Drosophila melanogaster: one gene and its partner. The protein of the gene in region 1 interacts with the protein of each later gene in a pairwise test. Each region holds a gene or a part of one and is shown in the gene's direction. Other genes may lie near its edges.

Evidence for each region.
Region 2: the proteins of BCAS2 (region 1) and Cipc interact in a two-hybrid assay, tested with the Drosophila melanogaster proteins (one large-scale study listed by BioGRID).

The regions. Positions count from the first base shown.
Region 1 is NT_033777.3:27,917,650-27,925,662, reverse strand, and holds BCAS2 (BCAS2), read left to right. Parts: upstream 1-3,306; 5' UTR 3,307-3,389; coding exon 3,390-3,464; intron 3,465-3,531; coding exon 3,532-4,293; 3' UTR 4,294-4,380; downstream 4,381-8,013. Other genes in the region: RpL4 (ribosomal protein L4), read right to left, coding at 873-1,523, 1,923-2,293, 2,358-2,538, 2,744-2,746; CG12259 (uncharacterized protein), read left to right, coding at 4,669-5,748; Boh1 (buddy of Hmr 1), read left to right, coding at 6,380-7,405; mRpS22 (mitochondrial ribosomal protein S22), read right to left, coding at 7,480-8,013.
Region 2 is NT_033777.3:26,104,988-26,112,174, forward strand, and holds the start of Cipc (clock interacting protein circadian), read left to right. Parts: upstream 1-1,880; 5' UTR 1,881-2,355; intron 2,356-2,597; 5' UTR 2,598-3,890; intron 3,891-7,187.

The DNA.
Region 1 (8,013 bases):
TGGCAAAAAAAAAAAAATATATATAAATGTTGTTGATGGAAAATGGTGGAGGAGACGGTTGGAGATGATGGCCGCTCCGCTCCAGCGTTCTCTCTGCGGGATGCCGATGCCGCTCTCGCTCTCCTGGCCGATCAGTGGTGGTGGTGGCTATATGGTATTGCGTTCTACTCAATATAACCAGACATTGGTCGCGACCCGCACATAGAAAATATCGTATGATCCGAGCTTTCAGATTTTGCGCGAGATAGCATCTACCTTTATTTTTGGCAAGCTGCTATATAATAAAGTGGGCTTGGAACCGGTTTACCGACTGCTACCTACTATGCTATGGTACCGTCGCGAAATTACATCGGTTAATTGAATCAAAAATATATATCCTTTGTTTCCCAGCCTTTTATTTGCCGCACAAAAGGGATTCGGTATATTCGCGATACGCAGAACCGCGCCAGTCGACCGTTCGCAGTCGAATAAGAGCGGCGACGACGCTCGACGCTTAATTAAATGCCAATTAACGTGTGACAATAAGTATATGTGCGGCCCATGGATGTGCGAACGTGTACGAAGACCAAGATCGGCATCGCCATCGGCGGCAGCACGACGGACGATAACGAAAGCTACAGCCGCCGCCACAGATACAGATGCAGATGCCATGCCGCTGTTATCAGCGCGAGCGGGAGAATGATAAGGGATGGGATCGCTCAGCGCGGCAGGCAAGACGACCAAAAAGAGAGCCAACTAAATGATGTGCCTAAGACTAAGAGTTTAATGAGCATTACTGTCGCGCACTCTATGTATTATGAATAAAATTCATACAACTTTTGTGGTTTATTATAATATAAAAGTGTGTCAGCTCTACTCGGGGGAAAGTAAGTTTACTTCTTGGCCGCTGGCTTCTTGGCGGCGACCTTCTTCTTGCGGGCGGCCAGCAGCTTGGCGCGATTGGCCGCAGCCTTGGTGGCCACATTGGCGAAGTGCGACTTGGCCAGCTCGACGTTCTGCTTCTTGGCCTTGGCCAGCACCTTGGCCACGGTGCGCTTCTCGGCGGCGAGGGCGGCACGACGCTTGAGGACCTCGGCATAGGGGTTAAGCTTGATCAGCTGGCGCACGTTGGTCAGGGGGTTCAGGCGGCGCACGCTGCGGAACACACGCTTGCGGGGATCGCGCAACACCTTGCGGATCTCCTCAGACTTGAGCAGACGCGACAGATCGGTGTTGGCCATCTTGGGCTGGGGCAGGTTGTAGCCCTTCTTCAAGGTGGACGGCTTCTTCCAGGTGCCGAACAGATCGTTCAGGCGGGCGAAAGCCGACTCGGTCCAGATGACAAAGCGACCGACATGACCGCCGGGGGCCAGCTTCAGCAGATTGAGCTTGTCCACGTTGATGGTCTCAATGCCGGGGATGTTGCGGAAGGCCTTGCGCAGACCCTCGTCCTTGTCGTAGACCACCAGGGGACCACGGCGAGCGATGCGGCGACGGTCGCGCATGGTACCACGGCCAGCACGGAAGCGCTGCGACTTGTACACCTGCGAAATGAATGAGAAACAAGTTGATAGTGAGTATGTATATTCCAGGAATTCGGAAATAGAGAACATGAATACAACAGCTGTTGCTCTTCCGTTACCACGATGGAAGCCGTGAATCAAGTTTCAATCGTAACGCCAAGAAGAGCATTTTATCTGGCAACGCAGGAGATCCCTGCAAGCATCGGACAACCAGAAGAGTAGCCAGTTGCTTGCACGCTGCCAAGTAAGATTTAGAAAGCATCCGAAAAGTAGGAATCCAATAAAAAGTTATAACTTTGCAATTAAAACATCACAACTTCACGTTTTGTTAAATAAATACGTTGAAGTTGAATAGACGCACAGTTAAGTGACCTAACATTCTTCGGATTAAGTTCTTCATAGGTGTACAAAGTTACCCACCTTCTGGATGTCAGCCCAGATCTTCAGGCGACGCAGGAAGATGACAGCCTGCTTGGTCTTCTGGACCTTTTGCACCTCATCGGACACGACCAGCGGGAACTCGGAGACGCCGTCGATGACATGTCCCTTGGACTGGACCAGAGCTGGCACTCCTGAGGCGGCGATGGCCGACACCAGGGCGTAGCGACGCTGGTTGACATTCACCTTGCGGTGCCAGCGACGGAACGTCTTGGTGGGGGCGAACATGCGTCCACCACGGCACATGTTGCCGAAGGCTCCCTGGCCGGAACGGTGGGTACCGCCACCACGCACACGGGGAATACGGGCCACAGCACGTCCGGTACCCCAGGACTCGGCGGAGGTCTGGTGACCTGCAAACAGGAATTCAAACGGGTTAGATTCACACAAAAGAGGAGTTATAAACAGTTTACTCACCAGCCAGCTCGCTGACGGCGTAGGCCTGTCGGTTGTTGCGGCGGAGCAGCTGGTGAACCTCGTTGACCACATCCGGACGAATGGGCGCCTTGAACACTGCCGGCAGGCATATGTTCTTGTCCTTGGCTGGCTCGTTCTTTTCCGTGTACACGGAGACCAATGGCCTGGCGTTGCCTAAGCTCTGAAAGTGCACATGGTATTCGGGTTTAGTTCACTGATCATTTCACATCACAAAACACAACAAGCGCATTTCGCCATCGCCGCACATTCCAAACACGTGGAGGTTAGGGCGACACTTTTGCACTATTTTCGCATCGTTTCGTGTGTTAAATCCAATGTTTTGGGGTCTGCTGCGGTTGCGGAGTGCCTTGTGCTTCGTTTCTCACCATTTTCGTTGATTTTCAAACCCAATGAAAGGTGCTAAATATTCTGCAAACGCAGATACCGTCCTCTTTTTATTAAGAAGAACGAAGAAAGAAAGAGAGCTGCCGGAAATGGCTGCCAATCGCGTTCCACGGCGCATGGTTGCATTTGCTAACAGCAGCAAGTGTCAAGCTTACAGGGCTAATTGGACGCTGTCCAACACTTTTAGCTTTTTTTTTCTCTCGTAAGAGAAGTTTTTGTTTATATTCTCGCAATTAAACTATAATATTACAAATCTAAATTCGAATTTATCAATAACGTATTTTAGTTAAATTTATAAATTAGCAATGCGTTTTTAAAGAACAAGAATACAATTGTTGTAATTTAACCGCATAATAAATAATCAAACAATACATAATACATACATACGTTAAAAACTAACTTACACAACTTTTATTGGTGAGAAAACAACGCTTATTTTTTGCTTAAATGTTCATGTTAAAACAAAAAAATTTACTAAATAGATATATGGCTATTAATTAACAGCATTCTGTTATCCGTTTATATAGCTATAAAGTAGCTAAATGTGCCACACTAGTGCGAAGCGGCAATTGTATTTGTTTACTTGCGGAAAAAACAGTCTCAAAACACAGAAATTAATAATAAATAATGGCTGGCGAAGTTATTGTGGATGCTCTGCCCTACATAGATCACGGCTATGACGATGTGGGCGTCCGGGAATCGGTAAATATACGGATATCCATGTTGCACGTTGAAACTGACTTTGAAATGGCATCTTCTTCTTCCAAAGGCTCTCGCCATGGTGGAGGAGGAATGCCGGCGCTATAGGCCCACAAAAAATTACCTTGACCATCTGCCACTGCCCGCCAGCTCGCCCTTTGAGACTCCGCTGATGGCCAACGAGTTCGAGCGCATCCAGAACCGCCTGCCCATGGAGACGCTCTCCATGAAGCGCTACGAACTGCCACCGCCGCCATCGGGCAAATTGTCGGAGGTGTCCGCCTGGCAGGAGGCCATTGAGAACTCGATGGCCCAGCTGGAGCACCAGTGGGTGCGCTCTCTCAACCTGGAGCTAATGCTCGACTACGGCACGGAGGCATGGAAGTCCTACCTGGAGGTCTTCACCGCCATGCAGGCGAAGGCGCAGCTCCAGCTGCAGCAGCTGAAGAAGGACATTCAAGATGTCAACTGGCAGCGCAAGCAGGCGCAAACGCAGGCCGGCGAGCGACTGCGCTCCCTGGAAGCCCATTGGGTGCTGCTGGTCTCCAAGAACTACGAGATCGAGACGGAGTGCGTCGAGCTGGAAAAGATCGTCCATGCCGCCCGTCAGCAGCTGCGGAAGATTACCCCGCCGCCCAGCGCCAATGACACGGCTCCAACGCCGGAATACACGAATGGTTTCGACCAGAACGATTTGGCCGAGAGCAACGGCAGTAGCTCCAGCAATCCAGATCCAAGCCAACCTGGCGATGATGGAACAGATGCCGATGGTGACAGCAAGGAGGAGGACAAATCCGAGGCACAGGAGGAATCTTCCAATGGATCAACGTAGATTTAGTACACTGAGCGAAAGCATGAAGCAAGTTAAAGAAAAACTTACGACTGTAACTAAATATAAAGGATATTAAAAAAAACAGCTAAAAATCTAAGATTTATCTTTATTTTTCAAAATCGTTGCAGAGAAATAGTGATCCTCTTCTTTTTGCTCTTATATCAGGGGAATGGACAGCTAGTAAATTTTAAATAATTTCAAGATTAAATATTTTATTATTTCAAATTGGTAAGGTAGTGTTTTGTGCTGTAAATTTTTTATACGAAGAATGGCATTTTTCAATGTTTCTGCTACGGTCACACCAATTGGATGTTTACAAATTTCGTTTACGAATTAAATAAAAAAAAATATAAATAAATACAGAAACAACTAAGGATGGCCCACTACAAAGGTGCCGCCAGCGAGGCGGGCCGTGCAGCCCAGCTGATGAAGAAGCGGGAGATCCAGCAGCAGGAGATCGAGTTTCGCAAGAAGAAGATCGAGGAGGAGCTCAAGCTGGACAAGATTGAGAACAAGTTTGCCACCCACTACGATGCCGTGGAGCAGCAGCTCAAGTCCTCGACCATTGGTCTGGTCACCCTCGACGAGATGAAGGCCAAGCAGGAGGATATAGTGCGGGAACGGGAGAAGAAGCTCGCCCAGAAGAAGGACGAAAAGGATCGGGAGAAGCAGCGCGCCCTGGAGGCCATTCAGGCGGAGAAGAACAAGCAGAAGCGGCAGATCCAGGCGCTGTCCTTCAACCTGGACGACGACGAGGAGGAGGAGGAGGAGGACGACGAGGATCACGATAAGAAACAGCTGAAGATTAAGCAGGAGGATCAGCCCAAGCCCAAGTGGACGGAGATCAAGGAAGACATTTTGCCCATAAAGAAGAAGAAGATATGCAAGAATCCTGACGTGGACACTTCCTTTCTGCCAGATCGCGAGCGCGAGGAGCAGGAGAACAGACTGCGCGAGCAGCTGCGTCAAGAATGGGTAATGCAGCAGGCGGAGCTGAAGGACGAGGACATCTCCATCACGTTCAGCTACTGGGATGGCTCCGGCCATCGGCGGAACGTGCTGATGAAGAAGGGCAACTCCATCTACCAGTTTCTGCAGAAGTGCCTGGAGCTGCTGCGCAAGGAGTTCATCGAACTGAAGACCGTAATGGCCGACCAGCTGATGTACGTCAAGGAGGATCTGATCCTGCCGCACCACTATTCCTTCTACGACTTTATCGTGACCAAGGCACGCGGCAAATCCGGCCCGCTCTTCCAGTTCGACGTCCACGACGATGTGCGCATGATAAGCGACGCCTCCGTGGAGAAGGAGGAGTCCCATGCCGGAAAGGTACTCCTCCGCTCCTGGTACGAGCGCAACAAGCACATCTTCCCAGCCAGCCGATGGGAGCCCTACGATCCCACCAAGTCCTACGACAAGTACACCATCAAGGACAAGGATAAGAGTAAAAAGTAGTGCTTAGGGCAGTTTCTGCCCGAATAATTGTACAATATAATAATGATTGATTTAATACATCAAAACAAACGAAAAATAACTACAATTTTTATTTGATTTTTCCACCAGATTTACAATCAGTTTAATTAAACTATTATAATAGGCATTGAATGAAATATAAAATATATAACAAATTTATGTTTGCTTAATACAATTTTGAATTCATTAGAAAATGTCATACTTCTCATAAGAATACCCCTAATTATTTAAAATGGCACTGTTAAGAGAACTTGTTGCTAAACAAATTTGGTAGAAATTTTAGTTTATAAACACAGTATAATCAGAGAACATGCAGTTATTCAGCACTTCGTATTGATTGCCATGAAAAAAGAACTGTTAGATTTATATTTTATTTTAATTTTTTAATATTCCAACTGTCATAATAGTCAAAAGAAGTCGGATATGGCGGGAAAAAAGCTAGCCCGCCAGCACCAATAGCAACATTGAATTTTTTGCGCCAGTAAAATTCGCGTCTTTTTATAAAAAGCAAGCGTAATTAATAACAAAAATAAAATAAGTTCCAAGTAAAATGTGAATTCATTTTTCGGATACGTATCGATTTAGTGCCATTTGAGAACCCCGAACCAACGAAATGTACCCGGCGCAACCGGCAAAGGTGGCGTTGGCCGGTCAACCGATATCCGCCGGAAAACCACCACGCCACAGCCCTGTTCAGATGAAGTCTATCCCTTTGCCCGTCTTCGAGCTGCCGGAATACGTGTGCGTGGAGACCAAGTGGGTGACACGCAAGTACGCGATAGAGAATGGCATTCCAGTGAAAGAACTGCATGCCCCGATCACCAATGGAGGCGCTACAGAGTCTCCCAAGAAATCCGTACAGCAGAAGAGACTCAACGAGGTCACTGGAATGTTTGCGAACGAGGCTATGGTGCCGCGCAGAGAGCGCGCCATTCAAACAGAGAATGCGGGCACTAAGGATGCGGGCATTCAATGCCGTCGCGATTCGGAGGAGTGGTATTTACCAGAGGAACGGCCAAAGGATACCGGTTCTGAGGCCTCCAATTCCGACAAATTTCTCACCTACGTGAGCGAGAACACATTCATATTTCCCAACGGCATGATGGAGTGCGCGGTGTGCGGCGATGTGGCCAAAACCTTGCTGGAGCACCAGAGCCACATGACCGCGCACTATGGACCTGGTGCTCTGTGCTTTCGCTGTGGTCAGCGTCTGGACCACCAGAAACAATTGAAGCAACACAGTCTGAGCTGTCCCGCTCTAGCGCCCAGGAAGTCATCGATGCTCTTTAAATGCCCACATCTACTCTGCAACGCCATGAGCCACTCAGAGATGCAGTTGCTCAGGCACCTGAGAAACCATAGCGGCAGGAAGTGCTACAGATGTCTTCAGTGCAAACGTTACTTCAAGACCACCACCTCTCTTTTGGTACACCGAAAAAAAGAACAGAGTTGTGCCAAGGCGAAAGTGGTCGTCCTATTTCGCGAACACAACGGGTTGCCCAATGGAAGAGGTGATCCCAGACGTTGCTCAGTTTGCTTGAAGCGTTTCAGCAGCGAGCGGGTATGCCTGCGGCACCGGAGACAGTGCATCCTTGGCCATTTTAGACGGCTGTCCAGGGTCCTCAAGAAGGAGCTATGAACAGCGTATAGAAATCTTGACCTAGCTGGTATTTATTAGTACATAGAAATCGATAACAATAAAGCGAATAGATCCTACGAAGCCTGGACGCCGTGAGCCTTTTTCAGTCCCTGGAACAGCATCAGTTTCTCCCGGTTAACTTCCTTAAGCGTCTGCACCGCCAGCTCCAGTTGCACCTTCTTCAGCGCATGTTCGCTGGCGATGTACTGCTCAATGAACTTCAGGCTGATCTCATCGGCGGCGAAATCGTGCTCCGTCTTGCCAATGGCCGTATGGATCTCCTGCTCAATGTTCTGCTTATTGTCATGTCGTCGGAAGACGCTTCTTAGCTCCGCCAGGGCACTTTCCGCCGGCGTGGCATGCAGTTTGCCCAGTTCGGTCAGCGTTGCCTGATACTCCACTGGGATGTTGTGTAGCTTGTAGCTCAGAGCAATCAGCTCCACGGCATTGTGCAGATAATCCCGACGGATCATGTCATACAGCAGGTCGTCGATGCAGCGGTGCCAAGCGTAGAAGAAGGCCATGGGTCCAAAGTGGCGGGTGGAGCGCAGAAGATCGAACTCCTTGGACTCGTTGAGATGCTCGAACACACGCGCTGAAATGTTGTG
Region 2 (7,187 bases), 1.8 Mb from region 1:
ATGTTTTATTTTTGGCAATCCAATAGCATACACTGAACGTAAAAGTGTTGACAAACAAATGTGTTCGCCGCACGATCATTAACCGCAGAATTGAAATACAATCTGCGGTTTTTGAAGTGTTTAGCCAGCAATATTGTGGTTTATTTTTATCACGACATAGCTATTTTTGGAGTAATTAGGCACAATTATTTTAATACTAAAGGACAGATAATAAAATTTGTCACTTAAAATGCCATTATCAATTAAAAATAAAACAATAAATATGTCAACGGCAAGATGGTTGTGTTTAGGCTATTTCGGTACAGTTTATTTTCGTCTATTTCTAATCAGTTGAATTATTCGTGTTGTTCGGGCTATACTCGTTAGATTTGATTACGCACTTTTATTTAACGGGCGTCTTGATAGGATGGACAGCCCACATAATAACGACCACGTTTATGGAACTTTTGCATTGACGCAAAAGAGTGGCCACGCCCCTACACTTCATGGCAATTAAATGGCACTTTGGGTGCAGAAATTTAAGGGCGGAAAAAATGCAAATGGCCAGACATGTGCGTGATGCTTTTATGGTCGTGTTCCTTTTGTTTTACGCGGCGTACACGTGTCGGCAATTGAAATAGAAAAGCGACCATGGCCCAGACACCCACGAGCCCATTAAAATCACACATAAAGAACATGGCAAAATCGGGGGGAAGCGGTTCCGCAAGGGGGCCTCCAACGAGCGTCGTTGTCGTTGTCTCATGTGTTATGCTAATTTCTCTTTTATTGTTCGCTGCTCGGATTTTGCTGCCATTTACGACAGCAGCAGACGATTAAAGCCAAACCGGAAGTCAGCCATCGTTCCCCGTTTACCGTTAGTGTCGCAGGCGGCTGCGCCGGCAACAGCCAAAGGCCATTGAATTGCCTTTTCATTACGAAAACAGCGCGAAAGGTCGCTCGGAAAATGTATCTGTCAAGACAGTGGGTCTTCGAGCAGAAAAAATATATGCATATTGTACAGCAAGACCTCGCAATGTCGAACGTTAGTACAGAGCTTTCATTTAGGGTTTTAAAATTGTACAAAAATAAATGAATCTTTTATTATTTTAAACAACACTTCTTATATTATTTATATCTATTTTTTATGGTTTAAGAATCTCCCCCGTACTCTGTGTATATATATATAGCAACCCGTCAGCGCAAACACAACTCATTGAAACTCACAGCCATCGCGCAGAGGGAGAGGAAGCAAAAGCAATCGGCCGTAACAAAATTTCCGACACGTGCGACAAAATTGCCTTCTATTGCGACGGGGAGGGGGGTGGAAGTGGGAGGTGATGGCCTGGCCCGAGGGTCCGGATTTAGGCAACCAGAAAGGCACGACCAAAACAAACCCGAACCAAACGCAAAGCAGCTCTCCCCTGGGATTCCCCATTTTCGGGGCGTGTTGCTGGCAACAATGTTGCGGCAACATTTTTCGATTGATTGAGATGCGTTGGCGACTTTTGAATGCGAATGTGTGTCAACAGTTTTTCACTGATGCTATAAATAATTTTATTTTGGTGGATGCTCGAGCATGAGTGTGTGCAAATAAATGATTTGAACCGTTTTCTGTAGATAAGGCCAGCTATAGTAATTTGTTGATTACTCTGCGAGTAAAGTCAACTTATTATTTCGTTGCTTATCGGCTAAATTTGCTAAATTTAGAACTTAGAACTAATTTAATGTTAAATATGGTTTTAAGAATTTAATATGTTTGATTAAAAATATGATCTAACCAAAAATAAATTTATTTTTCTTTTTTTTTTTTTTTAATAATTTCCTAACACATTTGGCCACTTTTGTGGGGTGCGCAGTGAGTGCCCGCTGAGCTACTATTAAAACGACGCTCGTTCGTCGGACCGCGTTCATTCTGCTTTGGGCGGTCGAGGTGTTCGTCTCGCAGTTTGGTCAAAAAACTGGAAAAGCTACGAGAGCTTTGTATTTCGCGCTGAACACGAGCGTTTACGTATTTTGCAGTCGCACTCGAGTATTCGCATATCCGTGTTTGTTGTTTGCCAGCGCGCGTGTGTGCCACTGTGTGTGTGTGTGTGTGTGTGCGTGTGAGTGAGTGTAGCTGTGTGTAGTGGTGTGACGGCCACACGCGCAACGAAAGCGAAAGTTTTGTTTGGCGCGCGTGTTGCCATTGGCGTCTGCGAATTTGCACACACACGTTCCCTTACCTAGAATAGATTAAAAGCGTGTGAAAACAAATACGAAAAAATACAGAAAATAAGAAGAAAAGATAATGTTCATTATTCCCAATGAGGGTGCATTAAATTAAGGGTATCTAGAGCGGAAGAAACACGACATCAACATCATTCCCGCAGCGTCTGGGTAAGTCGGCAGGTCTCGCGAAAAGGTTTGCCATAAATCTCCCGGCATTAGCATCAGCATTTGTGTGCCACACGTGCGGTGCTAAATAATAATACAAAGCCAAAAAAAAAAAAAAAAACACAAAATTGCACTTGACAGCCGACTTCCGATGCTGAAAGCTCTCCTGCCAACTAGAGAGGTTGTCCTCCTGTTCTCTGTATTTTTTTTTTTGCATCCCCCCTGAATTTCCTTTCCCCGTATAGGCGAGATTTTTTCAAGCTTCGTGCCTCACCTTCTGAAGGACGAATTTAGGTCAGGATCCGTGGGCCTTATCACATGACTCATGGCGTGTCCTTTGGCATTTGGGCTTCCTTGTGCTGCGCTTGCATCTGCATTTCGGCGGGCCACATGGCGTATGCGCAATATTGATTTCTTAAGCTCACTAACTGTGACCTTTAAAGCTCGTACTTAAAGTAATTTACAAATTACGAAACAAACTTATGTTAACCAGATTTAAATACGGCTTACTATTAAAATTAAAAAAAAAATAAATGCTCTCTGCGACTGTTTTATTATATACCTCAAATACTCGCGGGAAATATAAAGCATAAAGTTCGAATAATGTTTTGGGCTTCAGGGACTTTCAATGTTTACATATATTGCCAGACGCACTCAATTTTCGCAAGGGAAACAAAGTGTAACTTAAAGAAAACAAAACTTTAACATGTTGATGTGTTAGCCCTTTATTTGTTTCTGTGCTGTCGAATTCCAAGAACTAAGATAAAAAAGTACTTCCTTCCTTTACGTAAATATGTTTTGGTTTTACATCAGCCATTAAGAGTTCGGTCAAATCGTGTGAAATATTCTTGAAATAAGCACAAAGTAATCATAGAGCTTTGTCTGCGATTTGAAAGAAGAGAAAAGTAGGGAGATTTTTCTGGGCCACTTTTGCAGCTGGTTTTTACGGCGTACTAAAAGAAGCGATGGCTCAGCTAAAGTGAATCAAGCTCAAGCTGTGATCCACAATCGACAGCTGTTTGTTTATTTATTTTTTTTACTCACTCTGAAGACTTTGTATTTGCCTAACTACGATTACTTCAAGTCAGTGAGAAACAGTGCAACGAAATGAGCTTAAGTTCTGGGTATTATTATTATCTTCGGTTCATTGGCACTATTGAACCCATTTATTCTGGGCGTATTTCCAACCGGAAATTGCTTTAGGCAGTCGTGGACATTAAACAGGTACCGAGCATATCTATATCTCTGATAGGTAACTCTTGCGCGTGTTTCGGGGGGGCCGCTCCATTCATGACACCCCATGACGCCCATAATCGTAGATTTATCATTTTTGCTCGAGCGCGCGCGTTCCGCATTACAGCAACAAACAAAGCAGTAAAAAATTGGAAAAAATATTAGCCCCATCCGATATATAAATATAAACAAGCAACAACACGGGCGAAGGCAAAAAGAAAAAATAAATAAAAGACAACAAAATATATATGTAGAGCTGATATGCGGATCGTCAGCTTTGGCCCCAAATGTGGAGAAAAGAGAGCGCGAGTTACCACCCCACCCCCTAAACCCCCACGCCTCTAAACAAATCATCGGACACTCAACCGGGAAGACGGCAACTGGAACACCGCATCCGGCCGAATGCTGACATTCCGGCCGAATGCTGACATTACACAAAAGTCGCACTGCAACATTGTCCCCAGCTAGCCAGCCACATGCCGAGTCGGCATGTTCATTATGCTTACAATTAAGAACCTATGTACTTATGTATAAGACGAAAACGGAGGACTCGAGTAGCCACTCTCTGACAATAAACTTCATACTGATTTTGAACTTCAAGAAAGTCAGTCGTATTCTTTATTGGAAATCTTCACACTACAACTATCTGCTGAAACTTAAAAACCTTCATACATTTACACATCATATCTTCACAAAAGGCTCCACCCTCGATCACGGACTTAACTGGCGCAGCCGGTAGGATGTCCTACCTATTAATAATTACCTACCTGTAAGTAAACATGTAAGAAACGAAACAAACTATATGCAAGATGTCGACTGAAAGTGACTAGGAACAAATTTTTATAAAACAAAATTGAAGTTGTGAAGTACCAAATGAAACTCAAACATATATTCAAACACAGGAAAAAAAAAGAGAGAGGAAAAATGTAAAATAAATAAATATACAAAAAAAAAGTGCAAGTGTACCGTACTGCCGCGCTGACGTGGAATCTATCGCTGATCATCACGCCATCGGTATGTCCATACTCTGCCGAACGTCATAATTTTTTTAAAAAAGTGCAAGTGTACCGTACTGCCGCACTGACGTGGAATCTATCGCTGATCATCACGCCATCGGTATGTCCATACTCTGCCGAACGTCATAATTTTTATAAAAAAGTGCAAGTGTACCGTACTGCCGCGCTGACGTGGAATCTATCGCTGATCATCACGCCATCGGTATGTCCATACTCTGCCAAACGTCATAATTTTTATAAAAAAGTGCAAGTGTACCGTACTGCCGCGCTGACGTGGAATCTATCGCTGATCATCACGCCATCGGTATGTCCATACTCTGCCAAACGTCATAATTTTTATAAAAAAAGTGCAAGTGTACCGTACTGCTGCGCTGACGTGGAATCTATCGCTGATCACCACGCCATCGGTATGTCCATACTCTGCCAAACGTCATAAGTTTTTATAAAAAAAAAAGAGTGCAAGTGTACCGTACTGCCGCGCTGACGTGGAATCTATCGCTGATCATCACGTCATCGGCACTTACATACGCTGGCCAACGCATCGCCAAAGCCTCTATATACACTTATATATGTGAGCATACAATATCAACTACAATCCAATACATCCACGTACTGTACCGCCTCGTTGGCATGGAATCAAACGCTGATCACCATGCCACCGTGGTAAACAAACAAAGCACCAAAGCCTCTCTAATACATTGTACACTCAAAACGCACACTGCCATACGTCGGCGAAAAATCAAAACATAAGCAAAAATCATTTCAAACCAAGCGAGGCTCATTCTGCGTACCACAACGACAACGACACTGCATGTGTAGTGGCGCACCCATGTCTGGGTAGCCGAGGTAAGGGGAAAACGCTTGAGTATCGTCAAGTGTTCTTGCCTTTCACTCTTCTACAATGGGTTGCTACGCTCATGTATTGCACATTCAAAATAACCAAAACAAATGTACTAAAGAAGTCGACATATACAGATATATTTTGTTTCCTTTCATTGTGTAATTTTGTATATCAAACAAATACTAATACCAATCACATTGCAGAATATAAAAGGGAAAATATAAAGCCAAAGACAGACACCCATACACTCTAGTAAACAAGAAATTTGTTCATTATTTTTCAATCATACATAATATACTAAGTAACCTCAAATTTAATGTCAAAAAAGTTCGTTTACAACCTTAGGAAAACTACACGTTCAGTTGTTGGAGTTCCACCAAACACTAATAGGCCCCCACATCCCGTTAGACGTCCTGACTCCCTTCTCCCGATTTCGGAAGAACCCAAATCAATATCTTCCCAAACCCCCAATATGGACTCGGGAAACGATTCTGCCCGCCCCACTCCATCCCCTCTGGCGCCCACTGTCAGTGGTATTAGCTCCTTAATTTCAACTACGTTCAAGCCTAAAGATATCATGGCATTTGTTGAGCATTTGCCAACCTTTGATGGTACACCTCGTCTATTGGACAGGTTTATCACTAGCGTAGAAGAAATCCTGATGCTCATCAGGGGAGCTGACCAAACACCGTATGGCCTGCTTACTCTGAGGACCATCAGGAACAAAATCATTGATAGGGCCGACGAAGCCTTGGAACTGGCAAATACCCCCTTGGTTTGGGATGAGATTAAAAGCAATCTCATCCGCCTCTACTCGAGCAAGAAAAGCGAGGCCAACTTGTTAAGCGAGCTTAACACATTTTCGGACAACCTGACCTTGGGCCAACTGTTCTTTGGTATATCAAAGGTGAGAAGCCAACTCTTCTCCATACTCAAAAACAGCGAACACAACAACACTGTTGTAGATGCAAAAAAGGTTGTCTACAACGAGGTTTGTCTCAATGCTTTTATGACTGGTTTGAAGGAACCTCTCAAGACTTTCGTCAGGATAAAGTCCCCTTCTACACTTGAACAGGCGTACGAGCAATGCCAAATAGAGCAGACCTTATATAGGGCACAAAACAAGCGAACCAACAGACCAGAGCAGGGACCCAATGGATCAGACAATAAAACCTACCGAAATAGCTACGACAGCAATTACCGCAGCGGACGTAACGACCGAAATGACCGTAGGGGACCCTACTCTAACTCTAACTCTAACTCTAACTCTGGCCAAAATAGACCATTTAATTCACACAATCGCACACCCCAATCCGGCACCAAGGACAACCGGGCCAATACATCAAACCCCTTTCGAGCACCTTCACATAGTTTGAATAATATAGAGGAGAACCCTCAACCTGATTCGAATTTTCAGCAAACGGCCTCGGGAAACCAACAGGGTACATAAGCCCAGCCACGCACAACCCCTCGCTTCCTTTTATAAAAATCAAACTATCCCAGACAAACCCCCTGAAGTTTTTAATTGACACAGGCTCTACACACTCCTTCATCGACCCAAAATATGTCGACCCTAGGAACTGTGTGACCTTAGATACGCCCATAACACTCAAAACAGCCCTGAACAGTTTTAAAATATATCAAAACGTCTCTATACCATTTCCACCGGAATTCCAAATCACGGGCAAAATGACCCTTCTACCTTTCAAGTTCCACTCTTATTTTGACGGATTGATAGGAATGGA